Linked DNA regions of Saccharomyces cerevisiae S288C. The protein of the gene in region 2 interacts with the protein of the main gene of each other region in a biochemical or structural test. Each region holds a gene or a part of one and is shown on either strand. Other genes may lie near its edges.

Region 1 (4,649 bases), on a different chromosome or scaffold from region 2:
CTGTAACTACCACCATCTCTCCGAAGAAGAAGTCGCATCCTATGAAAGGTAAAAATTTGATTGGTAAATATGACGTTGAAGATCCGTTCATTGATGATTCGGAGTTATTGTGGGAGGAACAGCGTGCTGCCACCAAGGACGGTTTTTTTGTTTACTTTGGTCCATTAATCGAAAAAGGTCACTATGCAAGTTTGGAGCGTGCAAATGGTACCATGAAAAGAGGTGGTGTTAAAAATAAATAAGCATTGTGTCAGAGATTTTCCAAAATCCCTGAACGACATAAAAAATGAAATAAAGTGTGCCTATATCTGAAAGTATATAGTCAGTTTATATGAAGATTTTTCCGAGCGAATGCTTTTCTATCCATGTATCTATGTCCGATAATATGGTGAAAGAAAAAATAGATAATTTCACCTTAGAGAATCTATAAACTTGGCTATAAAACCAGAAACGAGTATGGCATGTTCAATATCTTGGTGGAAATGAAATAGATAAGAACTTCATTTTATACCAGTAAAATAGTCATTTAGAGATTCGTTTTTATCCACAATTTCCTTATACTTCGGAAGTTTATCAGGTTCGACTGACTTCAAATTAGAATCAATCTTCGAACAAACAATCTTCAGTAGATCTTCATCCCATGTTTTTTTTAGCACAATGAAAATATTCAAGTAAGTTAGCAGTAATAATATATCACTCTTCTTGGCATCTGCCGTAAATGAATCTTGGATAGTCTGCAGACAACAGTCATGAACAGCTTTCATTTTGGAAGAATCTAGTTGGATATAATGTCTGATGTTACTTTGCTGAGCTTTGTTACTATCATTGACCTTCAGTTTGGATAATTTTTCGACAATCAAATCCGTCTCAGAATCGTTATCCTTGGTGGAGATGCGTCGCCTTGAAAGGTCTTTAAAAACACATAATACGGACGTCTTAGCCAATGGAAGGGGAGATGTCTTAAGCACATCTAAGATAAACTCAAATGCAACTTTTTCAGGTATTAAACATAGTAATCTGGTGAGAAGAGTGAAAGTTATCATTCTTAACTGCTGATTGACCTGAATACAGTTCTTTTGAAGTAGAACATGCAATAATGTTTTTGTAACAAACACTGAAAGATTCTTCAATTCTTTTTTTACATCCTCCAAGGGCTCGGTTGTAATAGCATACCATAGCCAGTAGCGACTAACTGATTCAACTGCTACATTATAGTAAACTTTAGAATATAATGATGGAGTTGTAAATCTCAAGTAGAGATAAATGGCATCCGTTATATTCATTTCCTTTACTAAATGTTGATTGGTTTCCAAATAGTGGATACCAGAAAATAATATTACACCATTATAGTCCAAACCAACATTTTTTTCTTTAGCGGCCTTTTGTACTTCGAATGTATAAGCCAATTTATATACCATTCTTTCCAAAACCAACTTTGCTTCATCATTAACAGCGGAAATCTCCTGGGGTACAGACTTATAAATAATCCTACATTCTTTTATCACATTCTGAAATTCTCCCTCTATATCAACATCAAGCGAGAACGCCATTTGGTAATACCTGCAAAATAGCTCAAGATATTCGGTGTAATATGCAGATAATTCAAACTTCTGTTGATTTAGTGCACAATAGTATTTCACGTCGGCATTGGTGGTGACAGTTTTTATGGGTGTCGAAATACCAAAAGTACAAAGCCTACGCAATAGTCTAACCTGTAATTCACTTTCTTCCTCCACAACTTTATCAAACATCTCTCGAGTAAAATCTTCGTTCAATTGTATATCTTTTGGTGGATCAGGGGGAATATAGTTCCTGCAGAATGTGTACACCCTACGAAGAAGGAAAAGGGCATCTTCAAAAGTGTCCGCATGACTATACACAAATTTCTCAATTGTTGACACAGCAGCTCCCAGATATTTCGAAGGAAACAGAGTAGAAATCCTTTTCAGACTCGCCCCTATGAATTCAAATAAAATGTAGGATTTCAACTTCAAGAAAAATTCATTTGAACTCTTGCTTTCACCGTAGGATGGAAAATCTTTTCGATTAGAGGAATTTTCGATTACTCCTTCAGGAGGTAACGTATTGGCCTTTTTATCAACAAAGTCTTCCTTATTCTGTTGATCACTCTTGGAAAAATCTTTTGAACAAAGGGATGAAAGCAACTCCAACCCAGTAATTAAACATTTTTTGGGCTCGCCTTGGATTGAGATGGCATAGAAACACTTCATTACACCTTGGACAATCATATTCGTACCTAGTCTTCCATTTACATCGACATTATCCTTTGACAAGAACTTCAATAATCCCTTAGGCAGATCCCAACCGATTTCACCAGTAGTACTCGGATTATCCTCTAACAATGTATTCAAAGTTTCAATGAATCTCGTCTTTTCTTCATAGCTCCCCTCTTGGTTAACTTGCTCGCCATATATATCAATCAATGTTACCAACTCAAGAAGATCCTCCTTCTGAGTTTTGAACGCATCAGTAACCTCAAAAAGTATGTCATCAATTGGTTCCATTAGTGTCTGAGTATCGTATTGAATGTCTAGGGTGATTTTCTTTTTCAGTGTTTATTTGTTAATAATGTTCACCGGCAATTAGTCTTTATTTTTTTCCTTTACATTGTCAAATTTAAAGAATCGTACTTATGAAGGATGCCCGCTTAGTGTTTGACAGAAAGCTACTTGAGCTGAAGAAATAAACGTACATCCCTAACTGTATATTCTACAGTAGAGTGAACCAATGACAGTATGAGTAGGATCCTAGAGAGCGAAAATGAAACAGAAAGTGACGAAAGCTCCATCATATCCACAAATAATGGAACGGCAATGGAAAGATCCAGAAATAATCAAGAATTAAGATCATCTCCTCATACCGTTCAAAATAGATTGGAACTTTTTAGCAGGAGATTGTCTCAGCTTGGTTTGGCGAGTGACATTTCTGTCGACCAGCAAGTTGAAGATTCCTCTAGTGGCACTTATGAACAGGAAGAGACAATCAAAACGAATGCACAAACAAGCAAACAAAAAAGCCATAAAGACGAAAAAAACATACAAAAGATACAGATAAAATTTCAGCCCATTGGTTCTATTGGGCAGTTAAAACCATCTGTTTGTAAAATATCAATGTCACAGTCTTTTGCAATGGTTATTTTATTTCTTAAGAGACGGCTGAAAATGGACCATGTTTATTGTTATATAAATAATTCGTTTGCGCCAAGTCCGCAGCAAAATATTGGTGAACTTTGGATGCAATTCAAGACTAATGATGAGCTTATTGTAAGTTATTGTGCATCCGTAGCGTTTGGTTAAATACCCGGGCGCTGGAATGGTCTAAGAAGAAAACCTACAGTCGATCAAAAATCCCGTACGATATTAAATAGAGTAGTTAACGTACTTGAGCGTTATAAACTCACATTTTCACTCAAGAAGAAAATGGAGAATGGAGACATGGTAAGTGAAAGCATTAAGGAAGAAACACAGTTAGCACGTATTTCATCGAAAGTGTTTGATTACTTTCTATTTGGCATTTAAATATACATGGGAACATAACTAGATAAAATATACGCCATATATAGTACAGCTAGTATTTTCAGATGTCATAAAATATAATTAACGAGTAAAAATTACTTTTTTTGGGATGGGGGTAGGGTTTCTTCTTCTAGGACAACCAACAAATCTGATGCGTCAACACTTTCACCATCCTTAATGAAAACGTCTTTAACTTGACCATCTGCTGGTGAAGAGACAACCATTTCCATTTTCATGGCACTCAAAACAGCAATCGATTCGCCCTTTTTCACCAAAGACCCTTTATGTACTTTAACTTCTATGATAACACCAGCCATTGGTGCACCGATTTGGTGAGTATCGTGGACATCAGCCTTTGGTTTAGCAACAGATTGTATGTTTTGTGACTTGTCTGCAACTCTGATCTTTCTTAATTCACCGTTCAATTCAAAATACACTTCTCTTTGCCCAGTTTTCTTATTTAAGTCACCAACAGCTTGCAATTTGATAATCAAAGTCTTACCTTGTTCGATGGTGACTTCGATTTCTTCATCAGGTTCTGCTGGTGCTAGGAAATTTTTGGTTGGTAGAACTGATAAATCACCGTATGTTTCTCTGATCTTTTGGAAATCTTCATAGACCCTTGGATACATATTGTAAGAAGCAACATCGCATTCATCAATATCACCGAATCTGTTCTGCAAGTCTTCTCTAATTTTTTCGAGATCAAATGGTTCTAATTCTAAACCTGGACGGCACGTCAACTTTCTTCTCTTGTTTCTCAATACATCAGATCTTAATGGTTCTGGGAACCCACCGTATGGTTGACCAATTAAACCTTCAAAAAAGTCCATAACAGAGTCAGGAAAGTCCAAAGAATTAGCTAAACGTCTAATATCGTCGGAAGTCAGTTTGTTAGAAACCATGAATTGAGCTAAATCACCGACAACCTTAGAAGTTGGGGTAACTTTAACAATATCTCCCAGTAGGTAATTGGCTTCTCTGTAAGCTCTTTTAGTTTCAGCCCATTGTTCACCAAGACCCAGTTGTTGAGCTTGGAATAACAAGTTAGTCAATTGACCACCTGGGATTTCATGTTGGTAAACTTCTGGATCTGGTCCCTTCAAGTCGGCC
Region 2 (4,542 bases):
TCCTTGGAACCTTCTGGGGCTAGACCTAATTTTTCCATTACAGTAACCATTGCTGTAGTAAATTGTCTACCCAAGTAAGAAGTTCTGAAAAATGTGGCCAAATTAGCTAAGTTTTGAACGTACTTCCACTCACCAGTTAATGGGTAATACCAAGGGATTTCATCATCATTGTCCGCCAGGTCTTCGCTAACGAGGACTTCGAAACCACAGTTCTTCAATGCTTTCCTAGCCACGTCGACATGGAACATCTTTGGGATACCATCACCTAGTTCAATTTCATAAGCGATCTTTCTATGTTCAGGATTGTTTTCGTCATATTTATCAGTCATTACCCATTCGTAAACAGCAAAGGTACCACCCGGTTTCAAAACCTTGTAGATTTCGCTGTATACACCTTCTAATTTTGGAGCGTGACATGTGGCCTCAATTGCATAAACTTTGTCGAAAGTGTTTTCTTCGAAATCCATTTTCATGAAATCACCCTTTACAAAGTCCATTTGGTCACTCAAATTGTATTTTTTAGCGTAATATTTTGCCTTGGCAATTTGGTAATCGTTATTGTTTAGACCGATGACGTTACAACCGGTAAATCTTGCAATCTCTCTTGCTGGGCCCCCAACACCACAACCAACGTCGAGAACTAAATCGCCTCTTTGAATACCAGCCTTGTAAGCTAAATAATGTTCATGTCTTGCTATCGAGGCAGCGAAACTCTCACCTTTATAAAATCTGCTGAAATGGAAAGAGGAACCCCAACCATATTCATAGAAATCTGTAACGACGTTATAGTAGGAATGTGTGGCTTCATTATAATCCTCAAGACGACGTTCTTCGGCATCTTTATCGGTTCTACCATCCCAATTTCTCAAGTACTTCTGAACGGCTTCCTTTTGGGCAGAGTTGTTCTTCGACATCAATGCACTCAAACCTGTCTTTTTACCAATATCATCACCATGTAACTCCCTAGTGAATTGGGCCTGTCTTTTTCTCAATTCTGTTTCACTCATCTTATGCTGCCTACTATATTATTATTTTATTCTTGTTTTTTTAAATTATGTAAAACTTAAATCGAAAGTAAAACAGATAAGGGAAACTTGAATGAAAATTAACAGCTTATAAATTACAAAGACGAATGGAAAGAAAAAGAGAGCAGCAGAGGATAGGAGAAAACACCCGAACTATATAAAAAGCAATGAAGAAGTTATCGGCAACAGCAAGTATTGGAGGTTTCTCACCAATCTTCGCATAAAACGCATGCTTCGTAAGGCGATAAAAATGAAGTGTACCATTGAGACGAAGTGGAGCAGTTTACAGTGAATAATACATTGTCTGCTCCTCACTTACTCTCGCTTCTCGAAAACTTTTTTGTATTTATCGGAAACGGCAGTAAACGACGCCAAAAATTGAAAATAAGTACGGGAACGAGGTACCATATACGAAGATCGGGGCTTTGTTCGGCCCTAAATTTTGCTGATCTTACCCTGTTGCATCTTTTCAAAAATAGTAACCAGCCCTAGCTGTTTGGTTGATTTGACCTAGGTTACTCTTTTCTTTTTCTGGGTGCGGGTAACAATTTGGGCCCCGCCAAAGCGCCGTCTTTGTCATGGGAACCGGAAACCCTCCGATGAAGAGTAGGAGGGTGGCAACTGATGGATGCGTAAGGTCTTAAGAGATACATTTGCTTAATAGTCTTCCGTTTACCGATTAAGCACAGTACCTTTACGTTATATATAGGATTGGTGTTTAGCTTTTTTTCCTGAGCCCCTGGTTGACTTGTGCATGAACACGAGCCATTTTTAGTTTGTTTAAGGGAAGTTTTTTGCCACCCAAAACGTTTAAAGAAGGAAAAGTTGTTTCTTAAACCATGAGTGTGTCTACCGCCAAGAGGTCGCTGGATGTCGTTTCTCCGGGTTCATTAGCGGAGTTTGAGGGTTCAAAATCTCGTCACGATGAAATAGAAAATGAACATAGACGTACTGGTACACGTGATGGCGAGGATAGCGAGCAACCGAAGAAGAAGGGTAGCAAAACTAGCAAAAAGCAAGATTTGGATCCTGAAACTAAGCAGAAGAGGACTGCCCAAAATCGGGCCGCTCAAAGAGCTTTTAGGGAACGTAAGGAGAGGAAGATGAAGGAATTGGAGAAGAAGGTACAAAGTTTAGAGAGTATTCAGCAGCAAAATGAAGTGGAAGCTACTTTTTTGAGGGACCAGTTAATCACTCTGGTGAATGAGTTAAAAAAATATAGACCAGAGACAAGAAATGACTCAAAAGTGCTGGAATATTTAGCAAGGCGAGATCCTAATTTGCATTTTTCAAAAAATAACGTTAACCACAGCAATAGCGAGCCAATTGACACACCCAATGATGACATACAAGAAAATGTTAAACAAAAGATGAATTTCACGTTTCAATATCCGCTTGATAACGACAACGACAACGACAACAGTAAAAATGTGGGGAAACAATTACCTTCACCAAATGATCCAAGTCATTCGGCTCCTATGCCTATAAATCAGACACAAAAGAAATTAAGTGACGCTACAGATTCCTCCAGCGCTACTTTGGATTCCCTTTCAAATAGTAACGATGTTCTTAATAACACACCAAACTCCTCCACTTCGATGGATTGGTTAGATAATGTAATATATACTAACAGGTTTGTGTCAGGTGATGATGGCAGCAATAGTAAAACTAAGAATTTAGACAGTAATATGTTTTCTAATGACTTTAATTTTGAAAACCAATTTGATGAACAAGTTTCGGAGTTTTGTTCGAAAATGAACCAGGTATGTGGAACAAGGCAATGTCCCATTCCCAAGAAACCCATCTCGGCTCTTGATAAAGAAGTTTTCGCGTCATCTTCTATACTAAGTTCAAATTCTCCTGCTTTAACAAATACTTGGGAATCACATTCTAATATTACAGATAATACTCCTGCTAATGTCATTGCTACTGATGCTACTAAATATGAAAATTCCTTCTCCGGTTTTGGCCGACTTGGTTTCGATATGAGTGCCAATCATTACGTCGTGAATGATAATAGCACTGGTAGCACTGATAGCACTGGTAGCACTGGCAATAAGAACAAAAAGAACAATAATAATAGCGATGATGTACTCCCATTCATATCCGAGTCACCGTTTGATATGAACCAAGTTACTAATTTTTTTAGTCCGGGATCTACCGGCATCGGCAATAATGCTGCCTCTAACACCAATCCCAGCCTACTGCAAAGCAGCAAAGAGGATATACCTTTTATCAACGCAAATCTGGCTTTCCCAGACGACAATTCAACTAATATTCAATTACAACCTTTCTCTGAATCTCAATCTCAAAATAAGTTTGACTACGACATGTTTTTTAGAGATTCATCGAAGGAAGGTAACAATTTATTTGGAGAGTTTTTAGAGGATGACGATGATGACAAAAAAGCCGCTAATATGTCAGACGATGAGTCAAGTTTAATCAAGAACCAGTTAATTAACGAAGAACCAGAGCTTCCGAAACAATATCTACAATCGGTACCAGGAAATGAAAGCGAAATCTCACAAAAAAATGGCAGTAGTTTACAGAATGCTGACAAAATCAATAATGGCAATGATAACGATAATGATAATGATGTCGTTCCATCTAAGGAAGGCTCTTTACTAAGGTGTTCGGAAATTTGGGATAGAATAACAACACATCCGAAATACTCAGATATTGATGTCGATGGTTTATGTTCCGAGCTAATGGCAAAGGCAAAATGTTCAGAAAGAGGGGTTGTCATCAATGCAGAAGACGTTCAATTAGCTTTGAATAAGCATATGAACTAAAGCGGGAACTTTATGGAAAACTGGGTAACCGAAAGAACTTTTTCTATAATGTTACAATTAAACTTTTTTAACTTACCTTGCTTCGCCTTTTCGCCGAAAGTAGGTAGATTGTATCACCTCGGTATTTTTTTATGTACACAACCTATACTTTAAATATATTTAGACTATGTATGAATTCTCTGTATCACCTTCAATGTCAATATAGAAACTGGTAAGTGCAATAGTACCAATAATGATTATAATTATAATACAAGTATATATATATATCTATATATAGTGGTAAAGTATTCTTTACATGATGGCACAACGCTGAGATTTATCCGTACCTGCAGAACCACTGTTTTTATGATTCTTAAACCTATTCATCTGGAATTTCCAACGCTTTCTATCCTTGTTAGTGGCATGAGTAGGGTTATCTATGCCGCTTAAAGACTTTAGTAATGTAGGTAAAGGCAAACTTTTGGACCTTTCCACGGCACTCATAGCATTGATGGAACTCTTTATCTTTTTCAACTCATTTTTGGAATTACTTTCATTGTTACCCTTGGAATTAGGTTTGTGAGAATTTTTTGTCTTCAAAGAATGGCTAAAATTCGAGGAAGTCGTATTAGAGTTCGACAGTTGTGTCATTGGATGAGGTTCACTTGATAAAACTGTACTTTCACCTGTTTTAGAGTTATCCAACTCGTTACTATTACTTTTATCGATTTTTGTAACAGAATTAT
Region 3 (2,808 bases), on a different chromosome or scaffold from region 2:
GTTCATTCTTTCAAAGGTGAAGGATTCTGGTATGCCCTTCCCTATTTCGTACTTGGCAAGAAAAGTGGCAGACAAGATCAGTCAGGCATACTCTAGTGGTGAAGTTAAGAACCAGTTCGACTTTGTGGAGGGTGAAATTTCCAAAAATAACGGCTACCTGGTTGATGGGAAGTTGAGCGGTGCCGATATCTTGATGTCTTTCCCTTTGCAGATGGCGTTTGAAAGAAAGTTTGCCGCACCAGAGGATTATCCTGCCATTTCCAAATGGTTAAAGACCATAACCTCAGAGGAGTCGTATGCTGCTTCTAAGGAAAAGGCGCGTGCTTTAGGTAGCAATTTCTAAACCGTTTTGTTGCGTTCGTACGGCACTAGCAGCCGCGTAATTCGTTCACACACTTCAATACATATGTATGTATACGTATATAGTCTGTTGCGACACATAATAATTGACAGGTTTGACTAGCGAGTATGTATTATCAGGAAATATAAAAGAAAACTAAGCTTTACCTAACTTCAAAAGAAGAAGACCTGCCTATTCCACCTCTTTCAAAAGTTCTTCGATGGTTTCGGACAACGAAGAAGGTTTGGTTAGTGAAGAGTATCTTTCGTACACTTTACCCTTTTTATCGACTAAGAATTTTTCAAAATTCCATTTGATACCTCTCAAGCCCAACATACCGGATTTTTGGCTCTTCAAAAACTTGTAAACAGGGTCCTCATTGCCACCATTAACGTCAATTTTTTTCATAATGGGGAAAGTCACGCCATAGTTCAGTTGGCAGAACTGGGCAATTTCTTCATCAGAGCCAGGTTCTTGGTGGCCAAACTGGTTGCATGGGAACCCGATGATGGTAAATCCTTCGTCCTTATAACGTTTGTACAAGGCCTCTAGTTCTTTGTATTGAGGAGTGAATCCACATTTGGAGGCAACATTAACGATAAGCACCACTTTTCCCTTTAATTGGTCGAAGGGGAATGGTTGGCCTTTCTTGTCAACAGGTGCTAGCTTATAGAATTCTGACATGATAAACTTGAATACTTTACGAGATGACAGCTTGGAAGAGAGAGACGTGGAAAGCTCTGATGCTGTTTTTATTACTATTGCTTTTCCGATATTAAGGGAGCATACTGTTCCTCATGGTTTTTTCCCTCTTTTTTTCACTTTTTGACCTTTTTCGTAAAGTGGCTAAAAACGATAATGCAGAAAAAGAAGAAGGAATACAGGAAATAAGGGCTGTCGCGAACAGCAACAAGAGAAACAACTTATAATCTGTCAAAGAAGGGATATGGGCAAGGTTATTTTGATTACAGGTGCCTCCCGTGGGATTGGCCTGCAATTGGTGAAAACTGTTATCGAAGAGGACGATGAATGCATCGTCTACGGCGTAGCAAGAACGGAAGCTGGTCTGCAGTCTTTGCAAAGAGAATACGGTGCAGACAAATTTGTCTATCGTGTCCTCGACATCACGGACAGGTCTCGAATGGAAGCGTTGGTGGAGGAAATCCGGCAAAAGCATGGAAAACTGGACGGTATTGTCGCAAATGCGGGGATGCTAGAACCGGTGAAGTCCATCTCCCAGTCCAACTCCGAACACGACATCAAGCAGTGGGAACGGCTGTTCGATGTGAACTTTTTCAGCATTGTCTCTTTGGTGGCACTGTGTTTACCCCTCTTGAAGAGCTCGCCATTTGTAGGCAACATTGTCTTCGTCAGCTCTGGAGCCAGTGTGAAACCATATAACGGATGGTCGGCGTACGGCTGCTCGAAAGCCGCATTAAACCACTTTGCCATGGACATTGCCAGTGAAGAGCCCAGTGATAAAGTGCGTGCCGTGTGTATTGCACCGGGCGTCGTTGACACGCAGATGCAGAAAGATATTAGGGAAACATTGGGTCCTCAGGGCATGACACCCAAGGCTCTCGAGAGGTTTACTCAATTGTACAAGACTTCGTCACTGCTGGACCCAAAGGTGCCTGCGGCGGTACTAGCGCAACTCGTCCTGAAAGGTATTCCCGACTCTTTGAACGGTCAATATCTCCGCTACAACGATGAGCGACTGGGGCCGGTGCAGGGCTAGTACTAAACTATATTATGTAAAAGGGTATAGTTATAGTTTTTAGCTACTAAACTTTTATTGGGTTTGCGATGAGCGACAGTTTTGTGCGGCCATTTCTGTGCCAAGAACCGGATTGAATGTATCACCGAAGGAATTCCGCGGTGTTTTCAAAGAAATGAAGAGAAGACAGTATGAACATTAACTTTTGCATATATATACGTAAACGAAAAAGATCAAGTGCAATGGAAGAATATTGTACCTAAAAAAAAGGGTCTAACTACAGCGTGTAACAGGTTAAAAAAACATGGGTAAAGTTATTTTAGTTACAGGTGTTTCCAGAGGTATCGGTAAGTCCATCGTGGATGTTCTTTTCAGTTTGGACAAGGACACGGTTGTTTACGGTGTAGCCAGGTCTGAGGCACCCTTGAAGAAGTTGAAAGAGAAGTATGGCGACAGGTTTTTTTACGTTGTCGGTGATATTACCGAGGATTCCGTGTTGAAGCAGTTGGTTAACGCTGCTGTTAAGGGCCACGGCAAGATCGACTCCTTGGTTGCCAACGCTGGTGTCCTAGAGCCCGTGCAAAATGTCAACGAGATTGATGTCAACGCTTGGAAGAAGCTGTATGACATCAACTTCTTCAGCATTGTTTCCTTGGTTGGCATTGCGTTACCTGAATTGAAGAAGACCAACGGTAACGTGGTATTCGTCAGTTCGGACGCCTGTAACATGTACTTCAGCAGTTGGGGAGCT
Region 4 (2,757 bases), on a different chromosome or scaffold from region 2:
CAATGAACTTGATTTCAAAGAGTCTTTAAGAGAACGCGTTAAATTATTGCAAGGCCTCCAAGTCGATACACTATATGATGAAATAAAACAAAAGCTAGAGGTCACCAAGGGTGTGCCAGAACTATGCAAGTTCCTTCACAAAAAAAATTGCAAGCTCGCTGTTTTAAGCGGTGGTTTTATTCAGTTTGCCGGTTTTATCAAGGATCAGTTAGGTTTAGATTTTTGTAAGGCAAACTTGTTGGAAGTTGACACTGATGGAAAATTAACCGGTAAAACACTGGGTCCTATCGTAGACGGACAGTGCAAGAGTGAAACCCTTCTGCAACTATGTAATGACTACAATGTTCCAGTTGAAGCAAGTTGTATGGTGGGTGACGGTGGTAACGACCTGCCAGCCATGGCTACCGCCGGGTTTGGGATCGCATGGAACGCCAAGCCAAAGGTGCAGAAAGCTGCACCTTGTAAGTTGAATACCAAGAGCATGACTGACATTTTATACATTCTTGGTTACACCGATGATGAAATATACAATAGACAATGAAGAAAATAATGATAGATAGATGTAATAGAGTTTCTTTTTAAAATTGTTTATTTAAACTGGTAAACATGATGTACTTTACGTAGCGTTAATATACCGGCAACTATACGTTGGAAGCAATAGCTTGCTTGATAGCAGCTGGGTTGGCACCGACGACTCTGGTAACCTCCTTACCGCCCTTGTAGAAGATTAGGGTAGGCATGGAAGAAACTTCAGCTTTTTGAGCAACATCTGAGACTTCATCAACATCCAACTTGTAAAAAGCAGCGTCAGAATATTGTTCTGCAAACTTTTCAATCATTGGTGCAATCATTTTACATGGCCCACACCATGTGGCAAAAAAGTCAACAACGACTAACTTGTCGCCAGATGCTAAAGCACTGTCGTATTCAGAAGCGGATTTTAATTGAGTGACCATTATTGATGTGTTATTTAAAGATATCGTAGACTCTCGTGTATGTGTGCGTGTATAATTCTTGCTAGACAACAAATAAAAACTGGTCCTCGTTATTCTCTTGTCAGCTTTTCATCCCCCGAATGGCTTTCTTATATACTGATATCCCTCTTTCGGCTGGCTGGAAACTGAACGCGCTTAGTAAGAAAAGAGCCACCTTGTAGGGAGCATCCTTTACTAAGAGTATAAACAATTACACATATACTTTGATGATTACTTAATATTCACTGGCACTCAAGTTATGCTGATCTTGGAGCGATCTTGAAGCCGAGTATGTCATTCTTACCGGGCTCAACAAGACTTTCTTCACTGACTCTCACGCCGCCAACGGTTTCAATGCTTGCAATGGTGACCTCGCCACCCATGATATACCTGGCAACTTTGCCAACAGGGGTTCCTCGCTTGACCAAAAAACAATCTCTAAATACGTTGGTTCCGTTGCCACCCGTAAAAGTCTGGATGTTCTTCACAGTGTACACCGGTATTAGACCAAGGATGTCCGTTGCTGCTTGCAGAACCTGAACAACACCCGTAGATCCGAATCTATACAGGACCAAATCTCTGATATTTTCAATTCTGTTAAGGATCTTGTCGTCCAGTGGCTTTAGTTTGTCTGGCTCGTCCTCAAATGTGTCAACAAATTCCGTGCCCTCCTCGTATAATATAAAACCTTGCTTTTTCAATTTCCTCAAAAAAACTTCCGTCACTGCACTGGTCAGTACAGCTTTGGTGTCAGGATACTTTAGCATGATTTTAGAAACATTTTTATCGGCGTCAGGGTGGTCAATCTTGTTGAGTGCCAACACAGTTGGAAATTTCTCCATCATAAAGGACTTGACCACTCGAGTGATCCATTCGTCATCCCATTTTTCCAAAGGTGGTAGTCCCTTCAACCTGTCCAGGGCTTTTTGGATCATGGGCGCATGTGAACCGTACCCACCGAATTGCGCTTGAAGTGTGTCCACTATGCTAGATTTCGTTGCTGTATGTTTACGCACAATAGACCCCCATCTTTTCTTCAGGTTCCCCTCAACCCAAAGCCTGATTTCGTCTTGCAGCCATTCTATATCGTTCAATGGATCATATCCTCTTGTGTTCTTCCCCTCTGCATCTGTGGTTCCACTAACGTCCACCACATGAATAAGAGCATCTGCGTGTCTTAAATCATCCAAGAATTTATTTCCAAGCCCTCTGCCGGAATGCGCTCCAGGCACAAGCCCTGCCACATCCAACAGTTTGATGGGGATATGCCTCTTACCCTTGCTACACCACCCGTAGTTAGGTTTACAAAGATCTTCCTTGCCAAATCTGGAGCAAGCACACTCAACTTGCAAGTAGCCGGTTGCCTGATTTGGCTCGATCGTGGTAAAGGGAAATGCTCCTACCGCCGCACCTGCGTCCGTCAAAGAATTTAATGTGGTGGATTTCCCTGAAGATGGCTTACCCACAATACCAATCAATGGATCCCTGGGCATACTGGCTCTATTTCCGTTTTATTCTTACAGACAGCTTATACTACAAGTTAGTTGGACAAAAGCTAAAAGACGGAAAACGAAAACGCAAAATGAAAATAAAACCAACTCTCATTACAATTCATCCTAGAACACTTACACATCTGTTTTGCACTGCATAGCATTACATTTCTTGCATATCTATCTATTCGAGAAAAAAAAAAAAAGGCATCGAGTGAATTTTTCACCTTGATAAAAAAGCCCTTACTAACCCTACAATAAATTGTGCCGAAACCCTCTGGAGTTTTCTAGAA

The links.
Region 1: the proteins of YAP1 (region 2) and YBP1 form a complex in vitro, tested with the Saccharomyces cerevisiae proteins (2 studies listed by BioGRID).
Region 3: the proteins of YAP1 (region 2) and HYR1 form a complex in vitro, tested with the Saccharomyces cerevisiae proteins (2 studies listed by BioGRID).
Region 4: of the proteins of YAP1 (region 2) and TRX2, one has a biochemical effect on the other in vitro, tested with the Saccharomyces cerevisiae proteins (one study listed by BioGRID).

Annotation. Positions count from the first base shown.
Region 1 is NC_001134.8:655,076-659,724, forward strand, and holds YBP1 (Ybp1p), read right to left. Parts: upstream 2,526-4,649; coding exon 501-2,525; downstream 1-500. Other genes in the region: HPC2 (Hpc2p), read left to right, coding at 1-242; ATG12 (Atg12p), read left to right, coding at 2,757-3,317; PYC2 (pyruvate carboxylase 2), read right to left, coding at 3,632-4,649. UniProt on the Saccharomyces cerevisiae protein: Involved in oxidative stress response and redox homeostasis. Required for hydrogen peroxide-induced oxidation and nuclear localization (activation) of YAP1. Functions probably in concert with HYP1/GPX3, the actual YAP1 modifying enzyme.
Region 2 is NC_001145.3:251,984-256,525, forward strand, and holds YAP1 (DNA-binding transcription factor YAP1), read left to right. Parts: upstream 1-1,864; coding exon 1,865-3,817; downstream 3,818-4,542. Other genes in the region: ERG6 (sterol 24-C-methyltransferase), read right to left, coding at 1-1,007; MIN4 (Min4p), read right to left, coding at 1,179-1,289; GIS4 (Gis4p), read right to left, coding at 4,109-4,542. UniProt on the Saccharomyces cerevisiae protein: Transcription activator involved in oxidative stress response and redox homeostasis.
Region 3 is NC_001141.2:421,344-424,151, reverse strand, and holds HYR1 (peroxiredoxin HYR1), read right to left. Parts: upstream 1,025-2,808; coding exon 533-1,024; downstream 1-532. Other genes in the region: GTT1 (bifunctional glutathione transferase/peroxidase), read left to right, coding at 1-343; sepiapterin reductase family protein IRC24, read left to right, coding at 1,287-2,078; NRE1 (sepiapterin reductase family protein), read left to right, coding at 2,362-2,808. UniProt on the Saccharomyces cerevisiae protein: Involved in oxidative stress response and redox homeostasis. Functions as a sensor and transducer of hydroperoxide stress.
Region 4 is NC_001139.9:912,272-915,028, forward strand, and holds TRX2 (thioredoxin TRX2), read right to left. Parts: upstream 957-2,757; coding exon 642-956; downstream 1-641. Other genes in the region: SER2 (phosphoserine phosphatase), read left to right, coding at 1-541; YGR210C (uncharacterized protein), read right to left, coding at 1,232-2,467. UniProt on the Saccharomyces cerevisiae protein: Participates as a hydrogen donor in redox reactions through the reversible oxidation of its active center dithiol to a disulfide, accompanied by the transfer of 2 electrons and 2 protons.